Linked DNA regions of Arabidopsis thaliana. The protein of the gene in region 1 interacts with the protein of each later gene in a pairwise test. Each region holds a gene or a part of one and is shown on either strand. Other genes may lie near its edges.

The links.
Region 2: the proteins of EMB3003 (region 1) and AT2G45920 interact in a two-hybrid assay, tested with the Arabidopsis thaliana proteins (one large-scale study listed by BioGRID).
Region 3: the proteins of EMB3003 (region 1) and CP12-1 interact in a two-hybrid assay, tested with the Arabidopsis thaliana proteins (one large-scale study listed by BioGRID).

What each region holds. Positions count from the first base shown.
Region 1 is NC_003070.9:12,586,869-12,592,675, reverse strand, and holds EMB3003 (2-oxoacid dehydrogenases acyltransferase family protein), read left to right. Parts: upstream 1-2,452; 5' UTR 2,453-2,591; coding exon 2,592-3,449; intron 3,450-3,680; coding exon 3,681-3,872; intron 3,873-3,963; coding exon 3,964-4,051; intron 4,052-4,153; coding exon 4,154-4,224; intron 4,225-4,340; coding exon 4,341-4,424; intron 4,425-4,544; coding exon 4,545-4,649; 3' UTR 4,650-4,950; downstream 4,951-5,807. Other genes in the region: AT1G34440 (uncharacterized protein), read left to right, coding at 267-488, 535-634, 834-876, 1,249-1,328; AT1G34420 (leucine-rich repeat transmembrane protein kinase family protein), read right to left, coding at 5,106-5,410, 5,494-5,807. UniProt on the Arabidopsis thaliana protein: The pyruvate dehydrogenase complex catalyzes the overall conversion of pyruvate to acetyl-CoA and CO(2).
Region 2 is NC_003071.7:18,896,355-18,902,385, reverse strand, and holds AT2G45920 (U-box domain-containing protein), read right to left. Parts: upstream 3,758-6,031; 5' UTR 3,024-3,757; coding exon 2,802-3,023; intron 2,724-2,801; coding exon 2,602-2,723; intron 2,503-2,601; coding exon 2,398-2,502; intron 2,227-2,397; coding exon 1,995-2,226; intron 1,896-1,994; coding exon 1,572-1,895; coding exon of another isoform or gene 1,487-1,571; coding exon 1,289-1,486; 3' UTR 1,083-1,288; downstream 1-1,082. Other genes in the region: AT2G45930 (uncharacterized protein), read left to right, coding at 1-441; AT2G45910 (U-box domain-containing protein kinase family protein), read right to left, coding at 4,174-4,359, 4,527-5,273, 5,457-5,981. UniProt on the Arabidopsis thaliana protein: Functions as an E3 ubiquitin ligase.
Region 3 is NC_003071.7:19,444,380-19,448,724, forward strand, and holds CP12-1 (CP12 domain-containing protein 1), read left to right. Parts: upstream 1-2,350; 5' UTR 2,351-2,509; coding exon 2,510-2,884; 3' UTR 2,885-3,263; downstream 3,264-4,345. Other genes in the region: AT2G47390 (Prolyl oligopeptidase family protein), read right to left, coding at 1-144, 261-389, 484-1,465, 1,568-1,874. UniProt on the Arabidopsis thaliana protein: Acts as a linker essential in the assembly of a core complex of PRK/GAPDH. Coordinates the reversible inactivation of chloroplast enzymes GAPDH and PRK during darkness in photosynthetic tissues.

The DNA.
Region 1 (5,807 bases):
TCTCCATTTAAAGTGCCTAATTAGGAACTAACTTTAAAAAAAGTCTCTAATTACGTAATATTCTCAATAATAATTGAAATCATAATTTAGATATAAAAATAAAATTAGCAATACTTACCCATATAAGATTGGGTTCTTGAAAATCATTGCTCAAGAGATCTGTTCAAACAAAAAAAATCATAGATTGGAATTTCAATCGAAACATTTGGAAAAACTAAAGTCTAAATCTGAATCAATAATAACCTTACCTCTTTGTAAAATTCCAGCTTAGCTGCTAGAAACAGGAATATCACTCTCATCCTCAAGCTAATTTTTCCAGCCTCATTGTACTTCATTTGGCGGGAGAGGAACCAACGTCTTCACTCCGCTACTTCACGTCCTACTACTTCTATCATTAAGGAAATCAAGATGATAGTTAGGACAAGGCTTGATCCTCTTTCTAGGGCTCAGAGATCCACCCCTCCTGCCTTGACCCTCCTCGCCACTTGGTTCTCCTTATCCCAATGACATTTTCAGTTGTTGTTTCTTTTGTAGGCTTGGTTTCATTGGGTTCACTTTGTGTTTGGACCTTCCTCTTGCTGCGGGGGCTGCGTCCTCTTGTTTCGGGCCTCGGCCTTGTTTGTTTCTGTTTCAGGTTTGCGTACCCCTTCTCGGCATTTATCATATATGTTATGTTTTTCTAGTAAAAATTTAAAAAAAAAAAAAAAAAAAATTTCAGATTAGCGATTAACAGATGATAAACGGTGTCATAGTGTATTGATTATCAAAACAAATTGCAAGTGATTCATACTACGAACAACCGTTTGATTTTATTTTGGTGTGTGTTTGTTTAGAGAAGAAGAAAAGACAAGGTTTCTTCTAGAATTATCTATTCAGGTAAATAAACATTTATCTTTTCAATAAAATACAAAAATCAATCAATATGTGAAATGATCTGAAGAAAGTTTTGTGGGTTTCGGCCCAAAACAAAATTGTCATGTTATTCATTAATGGACTCCTAAATTATTCGTTGAAGCAAACAATTTTTGGCATTTTATTAGATATTCGATAAATAATCATAAATAATAGACTTATTTGTCTAAAAAACCACAAAAACAAATAAAAATTGTATGACTTTTTTGTGTTGTCGTCGTCGTCGTTATCAACCCTCATCATCATCATCACCAACGTAACCACCGACGCCATCATCATCGCCATTAACAACTGGATCTGTCTCCGTTTCCATCAAATCTCTTTCTCTCTCTGCAGATCAATTGATTTTTTACAACGTGATTGAAGCGGGGCTAGCTCCGGTGACGATAGTTGATTGGTTTTGTCCCTTAAGATGAGCTCCTTCAATGGTAACGAACGGCGTCGGCGGCCGTGAATCATGAGAGAGATGGCTCAGTTTCTTTTTCTTTTCTCTGATCTTCCTCTTTATCATCAGATTCTATCTCAGAAACTTATCAATGTGCGTTTGATTTTTTTTGCTTGGGTTCCCTTTACAATAATCATTAGGGTTTAGTTTTTGAATGGAATTCTCTTCCAATAAACAAAATATCATTAATGGTGAATAGTGAGGACGCAAATGATTATTGAAAAGCTTTGATTTCGAATACTCGATTGCAGATCTGCCACAAATCTGAAACTCTGTTTTTACTATTCACCTTCTTCTTCATTTGCAAGATGATTTCATTTCGTTCGTTTAATTTTTTGCTTTGGTTTCATAAATACTATCATCTTTAGGGTTTAATTATTGTGAATCAATGAATGTTTTTAGTTAGAATAGATTTTAAGAATATGAGATTTGGAAAAAAAATTGGATTTAAAAGAAGAGGAGCGTGCAAGAAGATGATGAGAGAAGATGATGAGATTATTCAGGGGTAAAATGATCAAATCGCCCTATCAAAACTACTCTTTTTCAAAGATCATACACAAAAGCCTCAAAATCAAAATTTTTATCAAAAAACATCCTCTTTTGACAATAACCCCTAAATAATATTATAAGTATTATACACTAATATTCTGCAACTGTCCAGATTATTTATCATTTACCAAAGAAATATATTAAAAATTATATTTATCTTTAAATTCAATATTTATAATGGATCAAACATCAAACAAATTTGTATACCGAAATTTTTTTAAAACACAAAATATAAGTTTCTCCTTAATTTTCTTTTATGAAATTTTCTTCTAAAAATAGAATAACATATAAAATAATACATAAGAGAGAAATCATGCTTTATTTTACAGAGAAAAATAGAGATTTACATTGGAGATAATCTTATATGAAAACTGTAAAAAACTATAAAATCAGGGCGAAAAATGTGTATGGTAAAAAAACTTAACATGTGGTTAAAGGTTTTAAAAAGATTACAGAATAGTTCTCTATTGGGCCTTCGAAAAAAGCCCAATACCCAACAACAAAAACGCGCGTGTATCACACCTTCAATACACTAGTAAGAGTCACACAGTGATCGTCACCGGTAAATTAGTTGGCAAACTCCGCCTGCTCTTCGATAATTCCGAGGAGCTTCTTCACTCTTCTTATATCTCATTTCTCTCTATCTCTCTCTCTCTCTCGCATTGCGATTAACGAAATTCGAAAAATGTCTCGTCTTCTCCAAACACCCTTCTTACCTTCAGTTTCCCTCCCCACAAAAACACGATCTTCCGTTACGGGTTTCCGGGTAAAGCCCAGAATCATCCCAATTCAAGCAAAGATCCGAGAAATCTTCATGCCTGCACTAAGTTCCACGATGACCGAAGGCAAAATCGTCTCTTGGGTTAAATCAGAAGGCGATAAACTCAACAAAGGAGAGAGTGTTGTTGTTGTTGAATCTGATAAAGCTGATATGGATGTTGAGACTTTCTATGATGGTTATCTAGCTGCAATCATGGTTGAAGAAGGTGGTGTTGCTCCTGTTGGTTCTGCTATTGCTTTGTTAGCTGAAACTGAAGATGAGATTGCTGATGCTAAAGCTAAAGCTTCTGGTGGTGGTGGTGGTGGTGATTCTAAGGCTCCTCCGGCTTCTCCTCCCACGGCTGCAGTTGAAGCACCTGTGAGTGTTGAGAAGAAGGTTGCAGCTGCTCCGGTGTCCATTAAGGCGGTGGCGGCGTCTGCGGTGCATCCGGCGTCTGAAGGAGGGAAGAGGATTGTGGCGTCTCCTTATGCTAAGAAGTTAGCTAAGGAGTTGAAGGTTGAATTGGCTGGTTTAGTTGGAAGTGGACCGATGGGAAGGATTGTGGCTAAAGATGTTGAGGCGGTTGCTGCTGGAGGAGGAGTTCAAGCTGCTGTTGCTGTTAAGGAGGTAGTGGCAGCTCCTGGTGTGGAGTTGGGATCGGTGGTTCCTTTTACGACAATGCAGGGGGCTGTGAGTAGGAATATGGTGGAGAGTCTTGGTGTTCCTACTTTTAGAGTCGGTTACACGATTAGTACGGATGCTCTTGATGCTCTCTACAAGAAGGTGAGTGTGTTTTGAAATCCGTTTGGTTGGTATGATAGAGTAGACTGGAGATTCCATTGATTGTGATAATAGTTGCTTGATGAAGTTTTGAACTTTGGGATGAGATTATGAGAGATAGCTAGTTGAATTATAAATGATAGTATCTTATGATGTGCATCAGAAGCATACACTAGTTACAAACTGTAAGTGTAAATGTTGATTTGGTTCACATTTTGTGTTTGGTTTGTTTAGATTAAGTCGAAAGGTGTGACAATGACGGCACTTTTAGCAAAGGCAACTGCACTTGCACTGGCGAAACATCCAGTTGTAAACTCGTCTTGTAGAGATGGTAACAGTTTTGTGTATAATAGTAGCATCAACGTTGCTGTTGCTGTTGCTATTGATGGTGGTTTGATCACTCCGGTGCTTCAGAACGCTGATAAGGTTCTTTTCTTTTGTATGCTTTATAAGAGATTTTGAGTTTACTCTGTATTCAAAACCGGTATCAGTGGGTTGTTCTATCTTTTGTAAACAGGTTGACATTTATTCGTTATCTAGAAAATGGAAAGAATTGGTTGATAAGGCTCGAGCCAAGCAGCTGCAGCCTCAGGAGTACAACACTGGTAATCCTACTACTAGAATATTGAAGTGATTTGAGTTTGAGTAATCCTTCAACTAGATTGTTTGAGTCTTGTTGTTTTTATTTCCCTTCCGGGTAATTGCAGGTACCTTCACTCTCTCTAACCTAGGAATGTTTGGCGTTGATCGGTTTGATGCTATTCTACCCCCTGGAACAGTTAGTGCTTTTACCTTTATGCGTGTATTTTAGTTTGTATCTTGGTTATGTCTTTTAGCCTAATAATTATGCTAAGGATAACAGCTCATTGGTTTTCTTGTCTTTGATCAATGAAGGGAGCGATTATGGCTGTCGGAGCATCTCAACCTTCAGTGGTTGCAACTAAAGACGGCCGCATTGGCATGAAAAACCAGATGCAGGTAAATGTTATTATCAACCATCGTTAGAACTTGTTCCTCTTCTCCTTTTTGTCTTCATGAAAACGTCTCGAGTTTTCCTGGGAACTTGTTAATGATGACTGGTCACTTGCAAACCCACAGGTGAATGTGACGGCAGATCATCGTGTCATCTATGGTGCTGATCTTGCACAGTTCTTGCAAACATTGGCAAGCATTATTGAGGACCCAAAGGACCTTACATTCTAGGCCAAATTACTGCTTTTCGCATCCCAGTCTTCTCTGCTTTTGATTCCATGGGAGCTTGTATTTCTGCGGTAATCAGTTTCTTTGATAGAACAAACCTTTTAAGATTAAACATAATCATTTCTTTGTTTGAGATATATCTTCTGCAACATTTTCTGCATGGAAAGGCCGTCCCACATGATTTTGCTACTGACTTCATATATATCCACTTCATGCGATGAATCTTATATGAACTGATAACTTTAGCATGATTAATAACATGAATCTTATATGGACTGATAATTTTCAAACTACAACTGTGAATGCATTACATCTTTCCTGTTTCTCTCAGCATCTCAAAAATGGAGATGCAGATGATAGTCTGTCAGAGGAAAGAAACCTCTCTAATCTCTATGCTGCTTATACATACAGATACAGTAACAAGCAAAAATTTACATATCATGCATCTGACACTTTTAATTAGAGTCTTGTGAGCATCCGTAGAACAGTCTTCATCTTTGGTCTTGCCCCAGGAGAGATGTTTATGCAGGCAAGAGCAACACCGAGGGCACGGAGCATCTGCTTTGTTGCTACAGTTGATGTTTTGCTCACTCTGAGATCAAGAATGTTGTTCTGCTGCTCTTGATGGCTCGAATGGCTCTGCACCCACTTAGCCAAATCTCTTCCTTCACTTACAGCTGGCCTTCCAGTTAACAACTCTAAAAGAATCACCCCAAAGCTGTAGACGTTCCCAGCCATTGTCACCCTCATCGTGTAAGCATACTCTGATGAAGTGATCAAAAGTGAAAGATTAAGAGAGCTGTTGTTTCTCAGACAAGCCCATATAAGTTTTGTATAATGTGTTCACCTGGTGGAATGTAGCCGATGGTGCCTGCAACTGCTGAGAGGCTGCTGTTGCTTTTGGAAGGATCGATTACCTTGAACAGTTCAATGTCCCCTACTAGAGGCTCAGTGAGCGACTTGAGTAGTATTTTTTTACTAGACAGATCTGGTAGAAGGATTGGATCACGACCGCTGGATTCGGATCCATGCAAGTAAGAGATTCCCTGAGCTATGCCAACCGCAATACTATACCTGCTTGTCCAATCAACCACACCACTGCTATGGTTGTGTAGAATCTCGTAAAGTGTACATGTGTGAGAAAAGTCATAGATGAGTAAG
Region 2 (6,031 bases), on another chromosome or scaffold:
TGGGGAGTTTTCAATGTGGAGACAGGTGATGGTAGACATAAAGCCGTTTATGTTAGCGACTACTGCAATCCTTGTGGCTCCAAATCAAATCCCAAAATCATTCCTTTGCATCCCATGTATCCCATGGGTAAACCTAATATTACTCAATTACGCCTCATCACTAACGCTGCAATGACTTGTTCACCAGATCAAAGTAAAGATTTTGTAGTGGCTGCCAATTGTTTAGGACTTGAGATCCATTTCTTTAGGCCTTGTGGCAAAACTGACAACTACTCGGGTTTAGGCTTTAAAACCGAATCCCACTTTTTTGATCAGTCAAAGGTTATGTATTCAAAGAGAGATAAAAAGTTCTACACTCCTAGTGTTGGAGGCCATTTGTTGGGTTTCTGGGATTCTTGCTTCGAGGATTTGAGTTGCGGTTTTGCAACCTTCCTGAGGTGACACAGTCCGAGTGGGAGCTCTTGGACTCATGTTCCCCGCCGACTGTACACCTCGTTGAGTCTCCCTCAGGACAGCGTTTCCTAGTCAAGTGGTACGCTCAGAACTACAAACCGGGCGAGAGGATGACATTCTTGTGTCGTGGAACAAAGCATTTCATGGTCTTTAGAGAGGAGGAAGATATGAACATGTGTTACACTGAGGACATTGGAGATCTCTGCATATTCCTCGGCAGAAGTGAGCCCTTCTGTGTCAAGGCAAGCTCATTCCCTGGCTTAAACCCTAACTCCATCTATTTTGCAGGCGATGGCTTTGGTGTTTACGATATCGCCACTAGAAAACCACGTTCCTTTCGTCCCAAGTCTCCCTCAGCCTTCTCCACAACACCACTCTTCCCTTACTGGATCCCTCCAATGCCTCTCTAGTTACTATGCAAACTTCATTAGTTATTCTCTTCTTGTATTTTAGTTGGTGGATCCAATATAGAATCCAGTTTCTTGTTTCACTTTGTGTTATGTAAACTCGAAAGAAACTAATGAAGACATGTTCACAAGCCACACACTGACACAAGATGAGAAAAGAAGAAGTTCACAAGCAGTTACGTCTCACACACTGAAGATAAAGTCAATTAACAAATGGGATTTAGTATCTTTTCATATTTTATTTCGTTAATTGGCTGTTTTCAACGTAATACATATGGTCAGATTGTATTACTAAGAAAATAAATAGAAAATGGAGAGAAAAATGAAGAAAAGGTTTTTCATTACATGGGTTTAATATAAAGTACAAGTAGACGTGTTCGTTGAAGCAAATGCTTAAGAATATATATTTAGTGTGATTTTATTTCTGTTCACTTTCTAAAAGAGGATGAAGCGTGAAGCCATTCCTGGATTGCAGATCGAAGAGCAAGATTTGGAACTAACTTTGTATGATGAAGCTTCGTGTTTGTCATTGGGGAAGTCTCATGTCCTCCCTGAAGCCATGTACTTATGGCTTCTGCTTCATATGTAAATCCATCTGCTGCTAGTTGTGGATCCTTCATCACTTCCTGAAACATTGAAAACAAAGGTTTTAATTTGTGAACTGATTCGATACAATCTTCTGTTTCTCTCCATATTGACTTTTTTATTTACCAGTGAAATGGGACAGATGAAGTACTGAGGAGCTTCACGGTGCTCATCAGATCGAGAGACCTCTTTTCTTAGCTCCTCTACTTCTATAATTGCTATGTCGCGTCCTTTAATCAATAAATCTCGTTCTTCCTTGGCTTTTCTCAACACTTTCGTTGCCAAGTTATACTTGTCTTGCAGCTTTTGTACCAACATATAAGACTCGGTTATTCGGTTCTCAGATATATACCTCATCTTTTCGAGTTTTTCTCTCACTTTCTTCAGCTCCATCTCTGTTTCTTTCCTTTGTTTCAACTCCTCCAAATAGGCACTTTCCCATTCTTTACCCTACATTTGGTCAGAAAACTTCGTTATCATCAGGAAAAAAGGACAACATTCCCAATGGGCAATGGCAATAGCTTATGTGAGATTCCAAGAAGATGTTACCCTTTTGATTGCTTCATTTTTCTCTTTTACAACTTCTTGATGCTTGAAAGCCTCCAAGCTTGCTTCTTTTTTCGATTTCTCAGCTTCAAAGACAGCTAACTGATACACATTTCCATTTCCTCTAGATATCGTGAATTGGCGCGAAGGTATAACAGATCCTCGTGAACGGACTGAATCTTGACCAGAACTTGTAGATGCATACTCTAGAGAGGTGTTGCCCATGATAGATTCCCTGCATTATACCATCACCAGATATATTAGAGCTTGTGACATGTGATTGTTCTCACAATCTCAGTTCCTGTTAAAACTCACAAGAGTGTGACAAAACACAAATATCATTTTAAAAAAAACTTCTGAAGTAGTATTTACAGTTGTACAGAGATTACAGGGACTAGGGGTAGACCTTTTATATACCAGGTATCCTTTGCAAGTAAACCATATACAACAAGTAGCAGGCGCTTCTTGACGAATGTAAATGGCTTTCGTGGACAACAGATCTGCCATCCTCCTACAAATTAAGATTAATGATGAGTCCATCGGTGAAATAACAAGAACTATGAGAAGATGAAAATCCAAAACTATTTAGTTATGCCGGTGTGCTTTGTACATTGAATAGCGTGTGTCTGACGCAGCTCCCATGACGAGCTTCTTGACATTGCGCTCTGAGATCAATTGGATGATCCCTTTCTCTACCGACTCCATTTTAATGTGTATCATCTCAGCACAGACCTAGAATATCACAATCGGCTCTCTTTATCTCTTGTATCATCAAATCACTTATTCGCAATAGAAGTAACAAAAACATACCTGCATTTGCCTGCATTTTTGTAGGTATTTGTCCAGGATCTTTTGTGTCTTTTCCTTTTCTTTTCTGTAGAGTGGCTGGTGAACGTGGACGATACAGAACTCCTTGCCTCCAGTGTTCTGTATCGCCCAAACAAGAGTGGACTTGTTCCCCAAGTCACTCCCCACTGCAACATATATCTTCTCATCCATCAGCAGCTGCTGCGAACCTGATTTGCCCATCATCTCTCTCTATCTCCATCTTGCTTGGCCTGGATTTTAGCGTTTAAGGCTGCATCGAAGCCTCATGAAGCCAACACTTTTCCCCTTTGCTTGGATCGAAGCTCCTATCTCCAACACACTCCATATGAGAACACTCAAAACATACCTCTAATTCACTCAAGAGAATAAACAAGAACAAACTTAAAATTTGCAATACGAGAAAAGAGATGACTTATCTAACAGAGGGAGCAATCAACAAGCAAGAACATTTTCTTATGTTATAACATGCACACGAAGTCAACCACGGTACCAATGACGAAACCTAGCCTTAACGCAGAAGCTGAATCATGTATTAAAATAATGAAGGCTTTTTGACTTTCAACAAGCCAAACCAGGAATCAAAAGCGACAGTATCTGTGTATGAAGAGAAATGTCGACATATTGACACAAATACACGAATTTCACAAGACTTTTGAGAAAATCCTGAAGAATACTCTCAGCATTTTCCAGGTTGGTGTCTTTAAAGGCTGCGTTAGGTTGGCTTACCTCAGTGCAATCCTGAATTTTTATACAGTTATGCCACTAGCCGCCAAAACGACCTGACCCCACTGCTAATTAAGTAAGATTAATCACAAGAATTTTAAGAGTTCATTAAAAATCACTATAGGCAATCCAAGGTAACTTCTTCCAGGTGGAAAACAAGTCTTACACGATAGTCTTGACTAAAAATGTAAGACTCATCCTAATTTTAGCTAAGCAAAGGCATCATCAGTGAGATCATGTCCAATAATTAGAGGCTAATCTTTGTTCTTAAGAGAGCCGAACATAATGGAAGAACAAAATAGTGGCAGTTCTTCTCACACAAACCGAATAAGCATATAACTTTTTTTTTCATACAGAACATATATATATATATATATATATATATATATATATACATATCCACATACAAATCTCACCAGCTTCTTCTTTTCATATATGACTGATATGGAGGACTTACACTATGCTTGAAAAAGTAAACAAATATGCTGCTATCCATGATTAGATCGTATGTATATGTATAAGGAAGACTGAAAACACTAATCTTACTCACTTACTCTGTTGCCTCCCGCAGAAAAGGCAAAAACGTTTTTTCATAAGAGAACAGGGATTGAGGGTTTGAAGGATTTTATTTTCACAAATGATGTTGAAGCCACTCTTGAATCGCAGAACGAAGAGCATGGTTAGCTATTAGGCTGGTGTGAGAAAGCTTGACATTGGTCATTGGTGAAGTATCATGCTCACTGTCCAGCCACGCTCTTATAGCCTCTGCTTCGTATGTGAAACCGTCTGCAGCCACGTGTGGATCCTGCATGACTTCCTGAAATATTTGAAAACAAAGCAGAGGAAGAACGGGTTGAGTACCATTAGACTGCAACATAACGGTTTGAGACCTCAGATAAGCAAATTTTAATGACTTTGTGATCGAAGTCTTCTCAGATTGATAATAATACTGGAAATCCATACTCAAATATACAGATTAGTTACCTGGAAAATGGGGCAAATGAAGTATGGAGGGGCTATCCGGTGCTCGTTACGGCCAAGATGGAAAGATGAAGATCCTCCACTAGAAGCCCTCATAGGTTCAAGTACCCTCCACACTTCAGTTCCAAGATCTGGACGATTCTCGCTGACAGTCTCGCAGCATCTCAATGCTAAGCGAGCAAGCTGCTCAGCCTGAACAAAGGGCCAGTCCCCTGCTAAAGGGTCCAAGAGGTCGTTCAATGTTCCATTATCGAGGGCATATTTCACTTCATTTGATATCCGTAAGGCAGGTCTCCCGGTCAACAAGCGCAATAAGATAATCCCAAACGAGTAAACATCTGACTTAGGAGTTAGCTCTCCACTACTGGAAGCTTCTGGATCCAAATAGGCAACTGTGCCTGTAACGTCAGTTCTCACACTTTTGCTTCCGTTAGGATGAAGTAGTGAGCAGGTCCCAAAGTCACTTAACTTGCTAACGAGATTGGAATCGAGTAGGATATTTGCCGGCTTCAAATCACCATGTACTAAGCTATGAGCTTTATTAGAATGAAGAAAGACAAGTGCTGCACATATCTCAGTGGCAATGCGCACACGATTTTGCCACGACAAGGGTGGAGAGTTGTCTTTGCAAGTAAGCCTGTCTTCAAGGCTTCCACCCGGAAGATACTCATAGACAAGACTCCACCCCTCTGGACATGCTCCAATTAGCGTAATGATATTTGGATGCCTCATTTTACTTAGGACATCAACCTGCAATGCCGCAAGAATAAGTCAAAGCTCCTCCACAGCGAACACTATAAAATCAAAACTACAGTAGAACTGTGTTTCAAAGTCCCCTTTTTCGTAGAGGCAGCAGTTTGTGCACAATAAACCAGTAAACAATGATGATGAAACTAAACAAGAAATTTCACTAATAATATGTCAAGAAAATACCTCCTGTTGATATTCTACAGGGCCTTGCGAACTGTTAGGATTCAACATTTTTATAGCCACCTGAGTATGACGCAGTAAACCAACGTAGATGCTTCCATATCCACCTTCCCCAATCTTCAGGGTCGAATCAAAGTGATTAGTTGCTTCCTCAATCTCGGAGAATGAGAAATCCGTGAAGTACTGAGGCAACTGTAGGGTTGAGGTTTCTGCGTGACTCCTTAACTCCTCAGCTTCTCTGAGTGCTCTGTCACGTTCTGTCTGCAACTCCTCTCGTTCATCCCTCAACTTTTGCAACAACTTCACAGCTATATCAAGCTTCTGGTTTAGCTTTTCCATTGTACCATCAGATTTTGCTATCTGGCTCTCAAGCATCGCTTTCTGAGCCATTGCACTTTGAAGTTCTTCCATGATCACCTCTTGCTCGTTTTTTATTGTTATAAATCTCTCTTTCTCTTTCGCTACTGCTATCTCCGTATCTTTCCTTCGCTTCAATTCCTCAGAATAGGCACTTTCTGATTGTTTAGCCTATAATAATTACCTATAATATCAGTATACTATAATATTTTAGCTGTTAT
Region 3 (4,345 bases), on another chromosome or scaffold:
TACACATCTTCCGATGATCTATCAAACAAGATGCGTGGACTGACATCGTTAGATCCAGGAGAGATAACCCACGTCCTTGTTCGTCGTGTTTTATACCATGATTCATAAACCAGAGCTAATGTATCATCACACCAAGAAATCCCTCTGCAGAATTGAAATCGGATCAATGTTAGGACATAGAAGGCTTTGATGAAGTTAGTCAGTTTGTTGATAAGATGGCATAAGTAATCTACAATATCTGCTGTGTTTTTAGTTGTTACCCATAACGAAGATCGAGCTTGTGTAACACTTCTGGTTCTTCTCCTGCCAATGGTTCAGCAGACTGCATATAAACTATATCACGCGGTGAAACTTCCATTTTGGCATCACCTCCATCTTGTGTTTCTGCCCTACATATCTCAGAAGAGTTGTAAATTAATTACTTCCAAATCCCATTTTGGCACGTGTACTACATGTGATTCACTTTGAATCTCAAATATATACCAGTAGAGGGTTGAAGGCTTGTCTGCTCGCCAGTTTATTGAACGCATTCCTTTCCGCACACTATTGGAGGCAATGGGGATATCTTCAGCCAAGGGCAAGTCACATAGCTGTCTTACAAATCTACCATCAGTTGTCCAGACTTCCACCTTCTTTGGAAATCTACCACAAGGTACAATGAAGGAATATGGCCTGTGAAGTGATGACACCAACAAGTACTTATGGTCTGTCGAAGGGTCTAACGATGTATACACTGCAGGAACCCCTACTTCCTTCACAGTACCATCCAAAGAAGCCAATACTAGTTGTGATGAAGCGTAGTAGTCAAATAAATCAGCATCATACTCATCCTTAAGCAAATCTTGGAATGTTCTAACTTGGACAACAGTCTTCGTCTCGTTTGACAGAGTTTTGGGACCAGATGGCACCAAAGGTTTCTTTGGTGGTTCTCCACGAGATGAAGGGATTGTGCTCACCAACAAAGTGGAATTATCAATCCAAACAAAACTCTCAAAAATCGCATTCAGAAAAATATCTTGCGAGTTAAACAATGGTCTAGCTACTCCAGTCTCAACATCAGCTACCCATACCACTGGCTTACTACTATTTCCGTTCTCATCGACCCGGATGCTGAAAGCCAGATGCTTACCGTCATTGGACCATGTAACAAAGTTAATCTTACCACCATCTGGAATGCCAGTGATCTCCTTCTCAGGACTCAATGTACCATCAGGCAATAACTGATGGATTCCTAAACCAGTATAGAATGACATTCTGCTTCTGGTATTGCAGTATCCATCAATTCGAACACCAGCAAGCTTCTCCTCTGGTCTAGCTAAATCTGCGAGCGGAGGCAATGCTCTCCGCTTGAGAAACAATATCTTATCCCTATGTGGTGAAAATGATAAAGCCGGGACTGGTGGAGCATCTACAATATCTCTGATCTCAGGTGGAGGCAGACGATATCCAGTGCCTATAGCCAATTCTACATAGTTCAACACACAAACAAACAATCAAAAACGATTTCTCAGATTTCAATTCCAGTGACAAGTAACTCTATACACAAAAATATTCAAATCCAAGTTACCATCATCTTCAGTTGCAGTAGCAGAGGCTGATAGGGAGCCATTAGAGGTTCCACCACCGTCTTCAGCACCTCCAGAACAGGCAGATGCGAGAGAACGAAGCCTAGAAGCAGAACGTGAAGCCATGACAGTGGTCAACGGGTTTTCGGAGAATCGGCGAACTCTTACGCAACGTCGTGTACTCAGAGTCGAGAATCCGGAAAGCTTGGGAAGTAGAAGGAGAGAAGAAGCCGGTGACGGAGACGGCGGAGATAAATGGCAGAGAGGTGAAAGAGAGAAACGATGACAAGCTTTATGAAAGCGCATCATCTTTTTTTAATACTTGACTTTTTTAACCTTTTTAAAGTGCTCTGAATGATTCTCTCTTTTTCTATTCGACGGTTCACTAATCAAAACGACGACTGTATCTGTATGTATTTTTAACCAGGAAAACAAAAAATATCAGGAAAAATATCGGTAGTGGTCACTGCTTATGTGGGCCTTATCTATGGCCCAACTAGCGCTTATTTCCTGGAATATGGCCCATTATAAGTCAGTCGTCCTCCCCCTTTTTCTCAACAAAATGAAATACTCAAAAATATAGTAATTATTAATTTATTATGCTACTTTTCATGAGAAGTTTATGTCTATGAAAATTACAGAAGAGAAAATGATAACAAATTTTTATTATTTCAGTCAAAAATTAAAAAAAAAGCTTCTATAATTTTCAAGAAAAAATGTTCAACGGCTGATAAAATAAATATTCCGGGGAAAAACTTATGTTTCTCAAATTGGTAGAATACTACTTTTTGTGAAAAAATCTAAGTACACGTGGCAAAATATGCTTGGTTCTTAGAAGATAAGAGGATTGTGTTCACAGAGTTTAATAACGTGAACGAGTATATTTTATCTTCTTCATCTCTTCACATCAAAAAACTTTTCTCCTCCATCAAAATCCTCCGACGATGACAACCATAGCTGCAGCTGGCCTCAACGTCGCGACTCCACGAGTGGTCGTTCGACCTGTGGCTCGTGTATTAGGTCCGGTCCGGTTGAATTACCCGTGGAAATTCGGTTCGATGAAGCGGATGGTTGTGGTTAAGGCTACATCGGAAGGAGAGATATCGGAGAAGGTGGAGAAGAGTATACAAGAAGCTAAGGAGACATGCGCTGATGATCCGGTGAGCGGGGAGTGTGTAGCGGCTTGGGACGAGGTGGAGGAGCTGAGTGCGGCGGCGAGTCATGCTAGGGACAAGAAGAAAGCTGGTGGCTCCGATCCTTTGGAAGAGTATTGCAATGATAATCCTGAGACTGATGAGTGTCGTACTTATGATAATTAAAAAATATGTTTTTGATGTTCGAATTATGAAACTTTAGGTATGGATCAATGTTTGTTCTTCTTGTCCCTTGTTGTTATGTTTGTGTTTTTGGTTTGGTTGATGATTGTAATGTGATAAATGAATATGAATAGTACAATACACAACATATGTTTCATAATGTGTTTGGTTCGATTACATTTGCAGTTTCGTGAAATTGATAATAAAAAACTCAATTAAGTTTAGATGAGGCTGAGATGATCTTAGGTCACTCGCATACGTTCCTTATTATTTTTTTGTGGATGTGGAGATGTATGTGTCAAAACGACGTTGAGCCGAGAGAAAGATGAATTGATCGAGAGTTTCTTAGACGGTTTTAAAATTGCTGCCTTGCTGGTATGGGAATTAATCTTTGGTTTCAACAAGATGGGTAACAACAAACAAGCCCATGTAATTATGTTGATGCAGTGTAATGGGCTTTATCAAGCATGGGCCGATGTACAAATTTGACATATAGAATAGAACCAGTTTGTGGCCAGCCTCAAGGTGATGAGAAACAGTAAATATATTAAGGAATAAGTGAACTAAATAATTTGACAAAAAAAAAAACACCTGAAATGTATACAATTTTATTGTTTGATAACAAAATTTGTGAAGTTAAGTGAATGAATTCAAAATCGTTTATCTTCTAGCATTAAATTGATTAATCTAAAGTAAATGATACGAGTGTGCTTGTTTGATGCTCTTCTGTGTTATTTTGCAAATTTGAATTCGTTCACTTATATATATTTTTGGCGGTTCAGAAAAGTAGATTTTAACAAGAAAAATGCATCGGCACGGTATCACCAGTTAAAATCTGAAGGTAAAAAGGTTATATATGAATTTGTAAGAAAACAACAAAAATTAAGCCGATCTATTTGTCGGCCCAGCCGCTAAAGAGTCAATTATACCCCTATAATTCTCACGCGGTTTAAGAAAATGCAACAACAAGTAAGGGGTGTATCTGTCTTCTCACACATAAGATTTTTTTTTTTGCTTATTAAAACTCTTACGTATTGTTGTTTCCTATTCTCAAATTTGTATTTTCCAGATTTTCCAGAAAAATCTCACAGCGGTAAGAAAAAAAGAAAAAGAAGAGTCAGTGGTCTTGTTGTTTCGTTCTTCCTTGTTCGCTCGACCTGGCCGATGTCTAACCAGGACCAGGAGACGCGCACACAATTCGCAGAATGTAACGTTGTTGCTACTCTTCTTCTCTCGTTTCTGTGACCTAAGAACCATTCGAATTCGCTGCTCCGTCTCTCTGGTTTCGTCCTTGAAAAATCGTCTACTCGAGATTCCTTTCTCTAGCCACCCATCTCAACTGCTGAGTAGCAAGCTGTATTTTTGTTGACCTAACTAAACCCTAGCTTCTTCGAGGTTTTCTCTTGATTCCCTTGTCTTTTCTAGCTCCCGAATTTGCCAGTTTTACTTGATTTTCATTTTTCA